Cricetulus griseus: one gene and its partners. The protein of the gene in region 3 interacts with the protein of the main gene of each other region in a biochemical or structural test. Links are inferred from orthologs where the notes say so. Each region holds a gene or a part of one and is shown on either strand. Other genes may lie near its edges.

Region 1 (4,211 bases), on a different chromosome or scaffold from region 3:
GAAGGAAGGAAGGAAGGAAGGAAGGAAGGAAGGAAGGAAGGAAGGAAGGAAAATAGAAACCAAGAAATTAATCTACTTGCTGGGTCCAGTGTTTCACACCAGTAATTCCAGCACTTGAAAGGCTGAGGCAAGAGTCACACAAGTTAATCTATTGTATAGGACCTGGTAACTACTAAGTATATTAACATACTAACTGTTATCTATTAAATCAAGACAAAAACCCCAAAATCTCATCAACTTTCCACAATACCAAGACACCTAAATTCCAAAATGCAACAATGATAATCATTTTAGGAGGCAGAATAATGTAGTGGTCAGAAATGTCTAGGTTCTAGTTCAAGCTCAGCTAGTATGACAATCTGTTTAAAAGGTATCTTCTGCAGGGCGTTGATGGCACTCACCTTTAATCCCAGCACTCAGGAGGCAGAGGCAGGCGGATCTCTGTGAGTTCAAGTCCAGCCTGGTCTACAAGAGCTAGTTCCAGGACAGCCTCCAAAGCCACTGGGAAACCCTGTCTCGAGAAAAAAAAAAAAAGTGTCTTCACTGTCTATAAAATTGAATTGTAGAGTACCTAGAAGCTGAGGCAGGATCTATATACTTATCATGTAAATAGATCAGACCAACTTGTTCTATATACACTGTAAGATCAAGGCCTGATATAAACCATTACCCAAAATCTTCCTTCAAAACAATAAACTTGGAGCTGAGCATGACATTAATCCCAGGACTCGGGAAGCAGAGTCAGGAGCATTTCTGTGAGTTCAAGGCCAGCCTGGTCTACATAATAAGCTCTGGAACATCCAGAACTATATAGAGAAAATCTGTCTCAAAAAACAAAAACAATAAACTTGAGAGGCTTGAGACATGATTCAGTGATTAACTTGCAACTCTTGCAGAGGACCTGGGTTCAGTTTCTAGCACCCACATGATGGTTCACAGTTATCTATGACTCCAGTTCCAACAGATCCAATTATCTCTTCTGATCCTTTTTTTTTTCTTTTTTGGGAGGGGGGTGGGGTTTGAGACAGGGTTTCTCTATGGCTTTGGAGACTCTCCTGCTCTTGTAGACCAGGCTGGTCTCGAACTCACAGAGATCTGCCAACCTCTGCCTCCCAAGTGCTGGGATTAAAGGCGTGTACCACCACGACTACTGGGTTCTTCTGATCTTGGGACCAGGGCTGCATGTGATGTACAGACACGCACACATAGCACTCATACACATAAAGTAAGTAATTTTCAAATGAACTGGAGGGCCGTGACTGGAGAGATGGCTCAGTAGTTAGAGTACTGGCTGCTCTTTCAGGAGACCTAAGTTTAATTCCTAACACCCACAACCACCTATAACTCCAGCTCCAGAGAATTAGACACCCTCTTCAGGCCTGGGACAGCACTAGGCATGCATGTTCACAGAAATCTATTTAGGCAAAACATACACATTACAAACTAAATAGAAAAATTAATGAACATGGAGCTTGGAGAGATGGCTCTGTGACCAAGAGGGTATACTGTTCTTGCAGAGGACCTGAATTCCATAACTAACACCCACAAGCAGCTCAAAACCAGCTGTAACTCCAGCTCCAGGGGACCCCACACCCTCTTCTGGATGTCATGGAACACGTGTGCATACACAAACACAGACACACATATATATAAATATACACTAAAATAGTCTTTTTTTTTTCAAAAAAGCACTTTAAATGAATTTTTAGAAGGTATTTAAAGCAAACAACTCACATATTAACCTGAAAAAAAGGCTTTGTGGCTTACTATCCTTTTTCCCATAAACAACAGAGAGCTGAAATTTTTCCCAATTTGGTGTAACACTTTTCCCCCTTGAATGCTGGCATTCTGAAGAATGCTCAATAACAAGCTGCTGAAGAATGCTGAAAAATAACAGAAAAATATACGTATATATGATTGTTAAATGTCTTCTAGATTAACTGAACATCTTCGGTTGTCCTTTAAAAGTTATTTCAAATATGCATCTGTCTCCTATGCCTGCTGCTATTTCACTTTCGAGCTGTTTGAATGTTCATTATACAGAATTATGTACTGAAGTTGGGACTGAGGGGGCTTTTTTTAAAAAACTTTTTTTAACAGGTGATAAGAAATGACAGCTGTCAAATACATAACATCCCTCTGTACCGGCTGTGTTTTTTTTTGTTTTTTTTTTTTTTTAATCCCTGGTAAACCAGATTATCTGTTCAGTTCCTATAAATTAGTCTAAACGAAGTTAAGGCAACTTCCTGTGTCATCAGCTCTCAAAACAGCTGAGACGCGCTTCAGGAGAAAGCTGATTAAAGCTGGAGGCCCGAGCAACTTCTCCCTAAGAAAGCAAAGTGTTACATTCTTCTCGCAAAGCTTGAAGTCGCGGCCTTAGGACACATTCCAACTGAGATTTGGGACAGTGCTGAACACGAAAGTAACTTTTAACACCGGGTCCAAATCGGCGTTCCTCTTCCTGCCTCCCTTCCCCCAAGAGTCGGGGTGGAGTGTGAAAGTGCCGCGTAGCAGCCACATCCCTTGCACGCTGCGTCCGCGGTGCGCCCCGCACCCTAAGCGGGCCCCTCGGAGCACCCTGCGCCGTCCTCCCCACCCCGCAACGCGGCGAAGCCCCCGTCCACACCCGGCCTGCAAAGCCTCTGGAGCTGCTCGGCCTCCCGGGCGGCTCACCATCGCAGCCCCAAGACCGAAGAGGAACAGGTGGGCAGGCCCGCGGCTGGGGGAATCCGTTATCAGGGCTCGGGATCCATTGGCGCCAACAACTTCTCCCGCGAAGTGGCAGAAGCGCAGGCGGCGGCGCGCGACGATGACGTCAGGAGGCGCGCGCTTCCCGCGGCCCCGCCCCGAGGCGGGAGTTGCGCGCTGGGTGCAGGACCGCCCCGGCGACAGGAGGATTGCTACCTCTCTAGGGTACAGTGTGCGCTTGCGATCGCGACCCGGACGCCCAATCTGGCTGGCTTCCTCTAAGGCAGGTTCCCAGGTGCCTTCCTTCCGTGTACACGTGCAGCAAGGGCAGTGCTCTGTAGGAATTTCCAAGTCTTACTCCCACCCTCAATAAAATGAAATGTATTCTACGCACTGCACACATCAACTGTTCCCATCAACCTTTACTCTGATCTGTTTTATTTTCCTTTTAATGTTTGACCTATTGATTTTGTGTCACACTAAGAGACCCATAGTTTAAAAACTCCCAGGATGAAGGACAAATATTTATTACTTTTTACACGTTTATTTATTGGCAGTGGAGTTCACCAGCGGCGGTCAAAGAAAAGCTTGCGAGAGCCTTTCCGCCACGAGAGTACATGTTTGTATTAAAGAGACTGTTCACATTAAAGGAATGCTTACATTAAGTTTTGTTGTTTTGAGGCTCTCGTGTGTCCCATCCAGGTCTCAAACTCCCTATGTAGTTGAATATGAGCTTGAACTAATGATTTTTCTGCGGCCTCCCAAGAACTGAGATTTCATATATATTCCAGGCTGGAGAAATGGCTCAGTGGTTAAGAGCACCGACTGCTCTTCCAGAGGTTCTGAGTTCAATTCCCAGCAACCACATGGTGGCTCACAACCATCCATTATAAGATCTGGTGCCCTCTTCTGGTGTACAGATGTACATGGAAGCAGAAAGTACATGGAAGCAGAATTATACATAATAAATAAAGTCCCTTAAAAAAAAGATTTCATATATATTCCAACATGCCTGGTTTATGCAGTGCAAGGGATCAAACTCAGAACTACTATGAAAGAATGTGAGCAACCCCCAGCCCCAACAGCTCTTTGACCTAAAACTACCATGCTACGAAAACTAGCCCCTTAATTCCTAAAGCTTCAATAAGTCGCTTAAAGAATAGTGAAGTAGGGCTGGAGAGATGAGGAGGCCTTTAAAGGCTAGGCTCACAACCAAAAATATAAGAATAGTGAAGTAGCCGGGCAGAGGTGGCACATGCCTTTAGTCCCAGCACGAGGCATTGGCAGGCAAATCTCTGAGTTTGAGGCCTGCCTGGTCTACAGTGTGAATTCCAGGACAGCTCACAAAGAGACGCTTTTTCTCAAAACAAAACAAAGAAAAGGAAAGAATAGTGAAGTCCACTGGGCAATAGTGAGGCATAACTTTGATCTGAGCACTGAGGAGGCAGAGGCAGGCAGATCTATGAGTTTGAGGCAGTTCCAGTCTACAAAGTGACTTCTAGGACAGCCAAAGCTTCATAGAG
Region 2 (4,029 bases), on a different chromosome or scaffold from region 3:
AGGGCATACCTCAGCCTTGGCTGTGATATCTCCTCCAATACTGCACTGTCAGGACTCAAAGAACTTCTGATAAGGGACTGTCACACATGTGTGAGAAGCTCCTCCTGAAGGTCCAGAAAAGTGTAATGCAGAACCAAAGGAGCATGCCTCAAATGCTGATCTGGAGTTGTTGGAGGCCTCAAGGAAAAGGACTGCTGGCTCTGTAGCTACTCTACCTCTAGCGCCTAGACAAGTCCATTCATTTCTGTAGGATTCTTATTCAAGGCTGAAAAATCTTCACTTTTACTGAATGAATCTAAGTATAACTTTGAATGGCTGCTGGGCTTGGTGGCACAAACCTATAAGCTCAGTACTTAGGAGGCTGAGTTAGAATTTGCAAGTTTGAGGACAGTCTGGTTTACTGTTTTGCCCTTGCTCCCAAAACATGTGTAGCTTAGTGTACCGTTATGTTGGCTCCTGTCAGTTGGTTGATTCGATGCATATGTTTACAGAACTCTGGGCCATGTCCTTCCCGGTCTTTATCATTATTAGTGACAAATAAGTAGGCATGTATCATTTCATGCAAAAGAGTCTGAAACAGAAAACCAGAAAATTAATTTTCTAGGGCATGTCTGAAGATGAAAACGCTTTCTTAACTTGGGGTCTGTAGGCCCAAGTACACAAAACGTTGCATATACTATTTCAACCTCTGCAGATCCCAGTAAGACAAACTCCCTTCGAGGAATTACAATTGCTCAAAAAAGCCCTATTTATCTACCAACTCAATATGAATCCAACCACATAAAAACTTTAAAGTTCTGGTAGAGAAACCCACCGCAAGCAAAGTCAAAAGATAATTCTGACAACTCTGCAACACGTATCACAAGCTCTGAAATTTGAACATACGGGGCTCGTGATGCCAACACCAAAAGAGCGAATAGCCCAGGTCTAAATGGGCACAAAGCTAAGTATATGCTGGGCATGACACACACCTGTGATCCCAGCACTCAAGGTGGAGGCAGAAGGATCAGGAGTTTGAGACCAGTTTGGCAGCACCAGACTCTACCCCCCTAAAAACAGCTGGGTTCATGCATGCCAGCTCACTGAGGAAGCTGAAGCAAGAGAATCATATAAGACCAGGGCCAACCTGGCAAACAGACTGTCTCTTAAAACTCAATAAAATGTCCTGGCCAGGAATGGTAGTGCACAGCTGTAAAAACCCAACCCTCAGAGCTGAGGCAAGAGGATCTTGAGGTTGAAGCCAGCCTGGACTACTATCAAGATCCTGTCTTTAATTTTTTAAAAAGGCCTGGGCAGTGGTGGAACACACCTTCAATCCCAGCACTTAGGAGGCAAGACGGGTGGATCTTTGTGAGCTCAAGAGGCCAGTCTGGTCTACAGACAGAGTTCTAGGAGACCCAGGGCTGCACAGAGAAGCCCTGTCTCAAAAAACAAAAAAAAAAAAAAAAAAAAAAAAAATTCCTGCAAATCACTGAGCTGAGAACTAGGGTTATGGAAAGAATACCTCTACAAGGTCCTTTCTTGGTCTCAGTTTTAGAAGAGGTTCACTGAGACGGATGGAGCACATTCCTCCTCTTCCTTCATAGGTGCAAATCCCAGCACACCTGGAAAGCAGTCACAACAGTGGATTAGATTCACCAAGAACAGTGGAGACGGATCAAAAAGTAAAATCCTAGCCTGTCGTGGGGGAGCACTATGGAGGCAGAGGCAGTCAGATCTCTGAATTCCGGGCCAGCCAGGGATACTCAGTGAAGCCCTGTCTCAAAAACAAAACAAAAAACATGAGCAAATCCTTACCGGTTCTAGTGCAGTTCAGAGGAAAGAGTCCCTGATGGGATACGGCTTTCCTGAGTGGGACACTTGGAATGCAGGCAGTAACGCTTGCTCACCCTCACCCACTCTGCTCCACACAGGCATTCATCAGCAGGGAATGGTTTAGCGCCCACGTCTGCCCGGATACTTCTCCAAAAGGGTCATAGGGTTGGTGTGAAGTTAGACGGACGCTACATACTACATCTCGCCCTGCTTTACTGCAGGCTGCTTTCTTTCTATGTGACGGTGTAAGTGAAGGGCAGATTACTATTTCGAATGGGATTTCTCAAATTCAATGGGTAGAAAAGGAATCCTGTTGGTACATCACTGAGGGCCGTTAGGCCCGGCCCACTCTGGAATATAGGCACGTCTCCAGTGACCTTTCCCTCCACCGCGAGGCGGGGACACCAACGACAACTCAGCGGCCTCGCCCTTCCCTACGTTCCGAGCCGTTCGTGGGCGCACTCACAGTGTCATGCGCACACTCCACTTCACTTCCACCGCCTCTAGCTGACCCCAAAAGAAGCGGTCGTTAAACTGCAAGAAGAGCGCCTGCAGGTCCGGGGTGGGGTCCACCAGCTCCCAGGACGCATCCACCAACGACACGGACTCCCGCGCCGCCGCGCGCCGTGCCACCTGCACGTCCCACTCCTCCTGCAGTCGCAGCGCAACCACCAGATCCTCGTCCATCGCGCCACTCCCGCCCAAGCTACTCCGAAGACGCCGGCGGTGCTCGCGCAGCGCACTGGTCTCGCGAGAGCTCCGGGCCCGGCTGTCAAGTGCGCGAGGGCTCGCCTCGAATGCCTAACCGAAAGTGGCTCTGAGCCGCCCCGCGGGCACAGGCTTAGGAACGCGGGGCTCGGGCTAGGGAAGGCTCCAGGAAGCCGGTTGTCTCCTGAACGCCCCTGAAGTTCAGCACCTCACGTCAAGTCTGGTCCGCGCCCGAGCCTCTTGACTTCCGTACTGGCTGGTCCGCGCACGCGCCGTAAGTCGCTGCCGCTTTTCGCGCAGGCGCGCCGTCGGCACTCCGCCCCTGGCGCAGGCGCAGTAGGAGAGTCTCGACTCTAGCACAGGCGCAATGCAGCGCTCAGCCCCGGCGCAGGCGTTTGGGTGTTGCTCCCGCCCCGCTTCCTCAGCGGTCTTCTCCGCCGGGCTCGGGTGGGGCCGGACGGCGGCGAGTGACAGCGACCGCGAACTGCGGGAGGAGGACGGATGTCAGCCATGTCCGACAGCGGGGCGAGCCGCCTGCGAAGGCAGCTGGAGTCTGGGGGCTTCGAGGCGCGGCTGTACGTGAAGCAGCTGTCGCAACAGTCGGACGGCGACCGCGACCTGCAGGAACACCGACAGCGGGTGCAGGCGCTGGCGGAGGAGACGGCACAGAACCTGAAGCGCAACGTCTATCAAAACTACCGGCAGTTCATCGAGACGGCGCGCGAGATCTCGTACCTGGAGAGCGAAATGTATCAGCTGAGCCACCTGCTGACAGAGCAGAAGAGCAGTCTAGAGAGCATTCCGCTGGCACTGCTGCCCGCCGCCGCCGCGGGAGCCTCCACGGGTGAGGACACGGCGGGCGCGGGGCCGCGGGAGCGCGGGGCGGCCCAGGCAGGCTTCTTGCCCGGGTCGACGGGCGTCCCCCGCGAGGGCCCTGGTATGGGCGAGGAGGGCAAGCAACGCACGCTCACCACGCTGCTGGAGAAGGTAGAGGGCTGCAGGGACCTGCTGGACACGCCAGGCCAGTACCTGGTGTACAACGGGGACCTGGTGGAGTACGAGGCGGACCACATGGCCCAGCTGCAGCGCGTGCACGGCTTCCTCATGAACGATTGTCTGCTGGTGGCTACCTGGCTGCCACAGCGGCGAGGCATGTACCGCTATAACGCTCTTTACCCGCTGGACCGCCTGGCGGTGGTCAACGTCAAGGACAACCCACCGATGAAAGACATGTTCAAGCTTCTCATGTTCCCCGAGAGCCGCATCTTTCAGGCAGAAAATGCCAAGATTAAACGCGAGTGGCTGGAAGTGCTGGAGGAAACCAAGAGGGCGCTCAGTGACAAGAGGAGGAGGGAGCAGGAGGAGGCAGCGGCCCCTCGTGCGCCACCACCAGTGACTTCCAAGGGCAGCAACCCCTTTGAGGATGAGGATGAGGAAGAGCTGGCCACCCCCGAGGTGGAGGAGGAAAAGGTAGACCTCTCCATGGAGTGGATCCAGGAGTTGCCC
Region 3 (4,082 bases):
CAACACTCAACTCCCACCCCCAAAAGTAACCACGGCTGGCGAGATGACCCAACAGTTAATACTCGATGCTCTTCCACAACATCCAAGTTTGGTTCCCAGCACCCACATCCAGCAGCTCATAACCAACTCTAGTAACAAGAAGCAACAAGTTAAATGCAAGCTAAGGGACATGTTGACCAATTTTCATTTTATCAGGAATTTTTTTCAAGTCCCAATTCAAACTAAGGAAATAAGAAACATGTGAATACTGAAAACTTAATTTCCTTTGTTGTGGTAATGCTTATGCTTTAAACAAAATACTTATGAATTAAATACCTTGTGATCTGAGGATGACAGGTAAGTAGGAATAATTAAGCAGACAGATTAAGGTTAAGAACCAGCCCTATGGGTTGTGTATATATGTTCTAATCCTCAGTTATACAAGTTGCAGACAAAATAACATTAAACACTTTGTGTTAAGCACTCCGAATTTTACATTTAGCACTAAAAATCATATTTAGTTCAGACTGTGTCTGCAATTTATAGTCTGATGCTCAGACTAGCTGGCAAAACTTTTTAAAAAACTTAGTATAATTAAAAAGTTTTGACTTCTGAATATTTAGCAATTAGCCTAGTATCTTCTGCTTGAATGAGGCTTTCCAGGCATTTTTCCTTTGCCTTTCCAACATCTTCCTCATTTTTGAGGACTTTAAAACTTATCAACACTCAACTTTACTTAGTCTGCTTTTGCACCATTAAATGGGGTAGCACGTGAAAGTCCAACACAAAGCTACTTACTACAAGATCTACATGATCCCAACAGACTCACAACCCCAACCATTTTCTTCTGTTCACTTGTTAATGCTTATTTGTCAGTCATTCTAGGAAGCAAAAGCTTGGAAACACCTAGCTTCCCAGTCCCACCTGTGAAAGCATATATGCAGAGTGTGGAGTATCTAAGTTCAAAGACAGCCTGGTCTACTCACACTCCACCTCAAAAGAGCTAGGTCTGGAGAACCAGCTCAGCAGTTAAGCTTATATTCATTCCCCTTTCAGACACTGCAGACAACTTTTACTACTTACAGCTTCCTCCTCTTTATCAACATTACTTGTTTGTGACAACTTAATGTTTCCATTTCCAAGCTCTCCACTTGCAGAAAACTTCACCCCATCCTTTGCACAGGATATTACAACAGCATCTCCAATATGGCTAAGGTCTCGGCATATGCGCGCAAATTCACCAGAAGGCATCTTTACCACACAGCTGTACTCCTGTTCCTGTAAATCCCAAAGTTAAAGGTCAGAAGTGTGAGGACAAGTATCTGATTTCTTTAAAACTCAATTTTAGACTGTCATTGCTTAGTGAAATTGTCTTTCATTCCAAATACCCACTTTGGAACTCATCAGCTGGTATCACAGCTTGGTAAAATTCACCAGCGAAAACAGGATATTCTCCCAGCACTAAGGGGGCAGAGGCAGGCAGATCTCTGCTGAGTTTGAGTCTACAGAATGAGTTCAAAGACCACCAGAAACGAGAACAAGATACTCACAGGGATTCCAAGTTGCTCAACATCCAAGTCCATTAACTTCATTTCATAGTCTGAAACTTTCTCTTGATCTAACAAAAGGAAGCAAATGTTATTGAAGCACATGTTCATACCTATGGTGTAAAACTTTACAACCGCAATTCTGTTAATATCCTTAGTTTTGAGAAACAGATCATACTTTGCTTTCTGTAACAATTGAGTTTTAGAGGTGTAACTTACTTGGTGCTTCAAATACGAGTGCTAAAGTATCGGCATTATCTTCAGCCCTTAGTGTAATGATGTCTTCATTACCAGCACATTTTAGTATTTTGGACATGCTAGAAAACAAGAAGCAGGGCTTATCAACACCATGTGTTCAACATCTACTCTTTTAAAGGCAATTACAAGATGTTACCCTTTTACGCCCACACCAAATCCCCTGGGGGGGGGAGTAAACTATCGGGAATGTGATCCTTAAAACCACTCAAAGGCAATATGCCAGTAAATAATTTTTTGAGCAGGATGTCCTTGGTTTCCAGTGTATCAGAGTGTGCCCTATATCATATGTGGCCTTTTCACAAATCTTTTAAAACGTATACCGGTGGCAAATTCATGCATCTGTAACAAAGTTAAAAGCTAAGACTGGTAAATTTTCCCACAAATGATTCGCAATGAGATTCTAGACTCCAAGTAGAAAAGGCCTATTGTCCCTCTAAGTGGACAGTACCACATTTTCACCAGAACACGTTTAGTAGGCAGCTAAAATTAGCCAGGACAAGGTTGTGCCCTGAAATAAAAAAAGCTGCTGGCGTTTAATGAACTGATCTCCAACGCAGGCATTTTCCCGCCGGCACCCGTTTTGTGGCTTTGGCGCGGAAACAGCGGGTTCGCGCGGCCACCAGCGCGGGCTTTTCAGAACCGCGCGCTTCCTCGGGCTCCGCCCCCAGCTCCAGACACCAATCAGAAGGCGCGGATGACCACGTCAGCCAATGAGAGCACGGAGCCGGAGCCCCGCCAAGACCCGAGGCGGGAGGGCTAGAGCCCAGCTCCCGCCACCCGCTCACCTGGTGAGGTTCACGCCCATGGCTAGGTTGCGGTCGCAGCGGTATGTGTCGAAGCCTTCGGAGCGCAGAGTGAGCTGCACCAAGGAGACGTGCGACGAGTCCATGCTCTGCAGGTTCACGCCGCCCGAGCTGATGTCCCAGCAGGCCTCGTTGATGAGGTCTTTGAGAGCCTCCAACACCTTCTTCAGGATGGAGCCCTGAACCAGGCGAGCCTCGAACATCCTGGCGGAGTCGCGACGACTAGATACTAGAGACTGTGACAGGAGAGAGGGCCGGCCGCGAAGGTCTCCCGGCTCGCGATGCAGAAGTGGCAGCGAGGACCCGCAGGGAGCGACTACCAACTTGGGCGCCCGCAACCGTTTTTATGCTGCCGCTTCCTAGGCGCGCGCTCTTTCCGTGCGCGAGAGTTGCGACGTCACCGCGCTGCCCCACCCACCTTCCCCTCAGAACCAATCGTATCCGAGTCCCGCGCAAGGCCCGCCCTGCCGCGTACACAGAGGCGGGGCTGCGGCGTACGGGCGTGGGAAGCGTGGGGCATTATGGGATCCGCGGAGGCCCACCTTTTGGAGGAGGCTTGTCCCGGCAAGTTTCCGCGCCACGGAAATGAAAGTCACGTGCAAGCCGAGCTGCGCCGGGAGGCGCGGGTCGGGGGTTGGGAGGGGTGGGGTGCAGGGCTGCCTGAAGTCGAAAAGTATACCTGTTTCAAACACTACAGAGCGCTTTTGCTACTGCGTAGGCGAAAACGCTGCAAAATACCGAGTAAGGAAGGAGCCACCACATCTTAACCCCGGTTTTCTATCACTTCACTGTGTTGGGCGCTCTGAACTTTCCTCCCTAAAGATTAAAGAGTTCCTTCTTGCCGTGAACACTTCTGCAAAGAACCCCAAAGTATGACTATCTCTTAAGATACATAATCCATAGGTCCCACCTAATTAGTTCCCTGTTACGCCTCTTTCCCTAGCCTGAACCCCATCTAGGCTGGAGATGAACCCAGGGCCTAGAGGCTAAGCACCAATAACTTCATGTTAAAATCAATACCCATTCCTGAAAATGTCAGCCATTACAGGTGCATGTGTTCCTGCTGCGTTTTGTTCTACTGAAATTTCTTTTTCCTGTTGATTATAAGGGTGGGGGAAACTGAATGCAGGTGGTGGACACCAGCTACAAACGGATGTAAAGCTATTTTTTTTTTTAATTTCTAATGTTTCTTCTCTTTGTTTTGTTTTGGTGATGGATAAAATATGTTTGATGCCGAAAGTGTAAAATATTAATGTGAAAGTCCACAGTTTCTATTTCAAATGCCTCTTTTTGTTTGTTTGTTTGTTTGTTTTGTTTTGCTTTTTTCGAGACAGTGTTTCTCTGTGGCTTTGGAGGCTGTCCTGGAACTAGCTCTTATAGACCAGGCTGGTCTCAAACTCACAGAGATTCACCTGCCTCTGCCTCCAGAGTGCTGGGACTAAAGGTGTATGCCACCACTGCCTTCCTAACATTGGGACCCGGCTGGGTGACCTAA
Region 4 (3,986 bases), on a different chromosome or scaffold from region 3:
CAATTAAATATTGGTTGCTGCTAGAAAAACTCATTTATCCTCTGAGCAAACTGCCAGTGAATATGAACAATATTCTAGCAGCCAAACTATAACAGTCATGAAAGATCTTGTCCCATTAAGTACCCTAAGTAATGAACTATATACAGCTTATAATAATTTGTAGTTTTACCAAGAGGAATTATTTTGGGCTTCCTTTTGAAACTGACAATATTATGACCACCTATAGAATACATTCTTTAAAAATTGCCAGGCATTTAAGATTGCTAAAATTATTCCCTTTTCTCTTTTTACTCAAGTTGATTGCTTCATCACAATGTAAGTCATATTCATCTGCAATTCGTAGATGAATATATGGAAAAGAAAAACCTATACCCATTCTTGCTGCATATTTTTAAATCTGACATTCTAAGACAAATCAAAATCAGTTTGCTGATACATTTTTCATATATTTGATAATGAAAGTTGAAAAAGGCCTGACTGGTAACTCCTTAGCTAAAAGGGCTCCCCACAGCAGATCTTGGCCTGAGCTGCTTGCACATTTATCAATAAAAGCTGGCTAAGCACTCACACTCCTCAGTTCACAGTAACTACTTAATAACTACTTCTTAATCACACAAAGTAAAAACTGGGCAGCTGTGCTAACTAGAAATGTTTTCAGAAGGGAAAAAAAATAAAAAACCTGACCCCCTAATTTAAATCTTTGACCTCTTGGGAAAGTTTAAAGATTTAGCTTCATCTTAGAGAACTAAAACCTAGTCATTCCTTTGTTCTTGAGGAAATCAACGGGATGGACTGTGATTTATAAAACTGAGGCAGGCACAAGATGAAAGCAACAAGGAAACAAACACTGTCCTTTGTGTTTAAACTAAAAGACGTGCTTCCTATATGCATGAATGAAAAGCTGTTTTCCTTAAAGTGCATGCCTACAGAAGTGAGCTACATCCAAGAGCTTGTTATGTGCCTACCAAAGGAAGCTGCTTCATCTACTAAGAACTCATTCTGGTTCCTGTGCACACACTACCTATGCTCATGTGGTCACATTTATTAAAGGGACAAGACATGGTACATTTACTCTTGGTAGCAAAGCAAATATGACTGCCAACCAAGTTCCTAAAACAGTCTACAAAAACTGTCTTCGAATGGTTAATAAATCAGAAAAATAAATCATACTTGAGGCTAATTTTATCATCACCCAACAAAGATCCCATCAATGTGGATTACCTAAAGGTTTGTCCTTTAATTCTGGATTGGAGATCATTTCTACTTGGGCATAAAAGCAATCCAGGTCCACATGTACTATGACTCTGGATGAAGAGATTTGTGTTGGCACCCCTTGATCGAAAACTGCTGCATAATACACAAAGGAAAACAAATGTATTCAGGCTGCTTATCATCAGGGAGCAACTAACAGATCCTTAAAACATTTTATCTGAAAAAGGATGGACAGTGGCTTAAAGAGTTTTTCCCCCTTGGATTTTATGACATGCCAGATGCCAACCGTTTAGATGCCCCCAGTATCTACAAATCATAAAGACATGAAACTCCATCAGCAAAAAGGCCTTCAGTCCTTTTTGATTAGCATGTCTTCAGGTACTACACACCCCCACACACACACCTCAGAGTAGTTAATTTAAGGGGAAACTCTTGATCAATAATGAATGGCACAAAAGCTGGTACTATCCTGTCTTTTAGAAATTTTTAAATAATAAATTGTAGCAATGTTATTTTCAACCAACTTGAGCATTACTCCAAGCAGCCTGTCCCTACATTTATAAAAAATAAATCAAACTGGCACAGCACAACCTGTGGGTTCCAGGACACTAAATTTGGCTCCCATGAGAGTACAATTTCCTGTTCTGAAGTCCCCAGTGCCTAGAACAGTGCCTGGGGCGCAACAGACAACAAATAATTAACCACTGAGTTGAAAACCTGGTTATCTAATTTTAAAAACTAGGGTCAGGGCTGTACCTGATATCCTAGGGCCAATGAGTAAATTGTATATATTATGGGTGGTAAAGGAGGCAATAGGAACAATTCCCTTCTTTCGTTACCAACAAAGCAGCCTAAATGCAACCCTGGGCTAGGAAAAGCACACTGGTAGGAAAATGACAAATTATGAATATAGTGTGTCTTTCCGTAAATGGGAATTAGTTGTGTACCTACTTTAATTTTGAAGTTTTGATATATGTACCAAGGAGATATTAGAGATATTGATATTAGAGAAATAGCATTTATGCCATAACTTTTCTGTTCATTGAGGGTAGGAGGGTGGGGATGTTAGTGAGTTTCTGGCTCCACAAGGCCGGACCACAGGCTGGGGTAGATGTGGGTCACCTAGGGACTCCAGCCTGCTTGCTAGATTAGGGGCCATCCTTTCCTACCTGGGCTGAGGCCAGGTCTCTACACCTAAATGGACAAGGTCCTCCTATTCTCCGAATTGGAGCCACCGGAAGCATCAGGAGTTCCCCTTGGGAGGTCAGTAAAGACTGCCCGCCCAGGAGACAGGTGCACCCCACTCATGTGTGCAGGAATGCAGGGTCGCCCAAGCGTGCAGAAGCCGGCGCAGAGCGCCCGCACTCTCCAGACCCGAGGGGGACCAGGAGGCCGCGCCCCAACGACCGCCCCGGGCGCCCGCCCTTCCCACCCTTCCCTTCCTTTCCCGCCATCACCCGGACGGCGCACACCCAGCGAGCTGCCAGCCGCCCCCGCGTCCAAGGGCTCCATGGCGCGAGCAGCGTCTTCTTCCTCCACGGGGCCGCCTTCTTCCTCCAACTCCACCCCCATCTTCACCGGTGGCCAACCGCGGAGCAGCTGCTGCACGGTCTCCTAGGAAACCACGGCCCAGCCTCCAGCCTCACGCCTGCGCACTCGAGCGGAACCGCCTGAGTGGCAGAGGACAGGAGAAGCGGAAGGACCTTTGCAACCTGGTTGAGGTCCTTAAAGTAGAGGAAGAAGAACCCGAATGCCCTTTCCCTTTTTTCTTCTCTCTTCTTTATTTTTTTTTTAAATTATTAACGTATATGTGAGAATACATGCTATGTGAGTGCTAGTGCCCTCAAAAGCCGGCAAAGAGCATTGGACCCCTAAAACTGGAGTTAATCGGTGGTTGTGAGCCCCTTGTTTCTGGGAACTGATCTTGGGTTCTGTGGAAGAGCAGCAAGTACTCTCACCTCTGAGAAATCTCTTTAGCTCCATTCTTCTCTTTTATCGATTTAGTTTTCTCTGAAGGCTTCCGTGTTCTGCTCATACCTAAAATTTCAATTTTTTAAGTATATTTGCTGTCTGATGATTTGTTAGCAAAACCGCTATAACCCCTAAATCTGAGTGATTTGTGTTGATGGGACTGGGAAAGGGTATGAATGATATTAAGACCGAGGTAACCAGGTAAAGACATGATTAACAAGAATGTTTGTTGAGTTTTATTTAAAGAGACTCTAATAATAATGAGTGGGTTTTGACACATTAGCTTTGGGTCATAAAGTCGCCATTCCAGACTCTGATTTTGCTGACATAACTTTAAGTATGTTGTGTAACTGCTCTGAGCCTGCACTGTAAAAACAAACAAAACAGACAAACACACTCTCGATTACATAAATGGAGGTAAAACAACATAGTTTAATGTCTACAAAGCAACTGGCATATTAGGAGCTCAGTGTATCCCTGTCTTTTCGTGGGGTGCATGTTTGCCTGTATGTTGATATTTGTGTGTATGGATGTTTTCCAATATGTTCTGGCGGAAGCTCCACTTCAAACCCCTTCCCCCACCTCTCTCTCCAAACCCTGCTGCCTCTCAGTAAGGCAGCCAAGTGATGACCCCTCCCCCAGAGATGCTCAAGACCACTCCCACAGGGTATTTAAACTGCCCCTCAGAAAACAGACATATGGGGTTTTGGGTTTTTTTTATTTTATTTTTGTATTGTTTGGTTTTTGTGTGTTTGATTGGTTGGATTTTTGTTTTTGTTTTTGTTTTGGTCTCTCTTCACCGG

Evidence for each region. The genes of interacting proteins can lie anywhere in the genome.
Region 1: the proteins of Pcna (region 3) and Rfc1 form a complex in vitro, tested with the Homo sapiens proteins (5 studies listed by BioGRID, with this or other methods). The link is inferred for Cricetulus griseus from reciprocal best matches to the Homo sapiens genes PCNA and RFC1.
Region 2: the proteins of Pcna (region 3) and Sprtn form a complex in vitro, tested with the Homo sapiens proteins (4 studies listed by BioGRID). The link is inferred for Cricetulus griseus from reciprocal best matches to the Homo sapiens genes PCNA and SPRTN.
Region 4: the proteins of Pcna (region 3) and Poli form a complex in vitro, tested with the Homo sapiens proteins (4 studies listed by BioGRID, with this or other methods). The link is inferred for Cricetulus griseus from reciprocal best matches to the Homo sapiens genes PCNA and POLI.

The regions. Positions count from the first base shown.
Region 1 is NW_023276807.1:132,371,170-132,375,380, forward strand, and holds the start of Rfc1 (replication factor C subunit 1), read right to left. Parts: upstream 2,809-4,211; 5' UTR 2,677-2,808; coding exon of another isoform or gene 2,674-2,676; intron 1-2,673. UniProt on the Homo sapiens protein: Subunit of the replication factor C (RFC) complex which acts during elongation of primed DNA templates by DNA polymerases delta and epsilon, and is necessary for ATP-dependent loading of proliferating cell nuclear antigen (PCNA) onto primed DNA.
Region 2 is NC_048596.1:201,642,930-201,646,958, reverse strand, and holds the start of Sprtn (sprT-like domain-containing protein Spartan), read right to left. Parts: upstream 2,809-4,029; 5' UTR 2,503-2,808; coding exon 2,282-2,502; intron 2,274-2,281; exon of another isoform or gene 1,798-2,273; intron 1,605-1,797; coding exon 1,505-1,604; intron 572-1,504; coding exon 443-571; intron 1-442. Other genes in the region: Exoc8 (exocyst complex component 8), read left to right, coding at 3,025-4,029. UniProt on the Homo sapiens protein: DNA-dependent metalloendopeptidase that mediates the proteolytic cleavage of covalent DNA-protein cross-links (DPCs) during DNA synthesis, thereby playing a key role in maintaining genomic integrity.
Region 3 is NC_048599.1:46,331,514-46,335,595, reverse strand, and holds the start of Pcna (proliferating cell nuclear antigen), read right to left. Parts: upstream 2,801-4,082; 5' UTR 2,791-2,800; coding exon 2,570-2,790; intron 1,844-2,569; coding exon 1,746-1,843; intron 1,598-1,745; coding exon 1,530-1,597; intron 1,258-1,529; coding exon 1,063-1,257; intron 1-1,062. UniProt on the Homo sapiens protein: Auxiliary protein of DNA polymerase delta and epsilon, is involved in the control of eukaryotic DNA replication by increasing the polymerase's processibility during elongation of the leading strand.
Region 4 is NC_048595.1:169,048,675-169,052,660, reverse strand, and holds the start of Poli (DNA polymerase iota), read right to left. Parts: upstream 2,809-3,986; 5' UTR 2,785-2,808; coding exon 2,685-2,784; coding exon of another isoform or gene 2,683-2,684; intron 2,598-2,682; exon of another isoform or gene 1,348-2,597; coding exon 1,222-1,347; intron 1-1,221. UniProt on the Homo sapiens protein: Error-prone DNA polymerase specifically involved in DNA repair. Plays an important role in translesion synthesis, where the normal high-fidelity DNA polymerases cannot proceed and DNA synthesis stalls. Favors Hoogsteen base-pairing in the active site.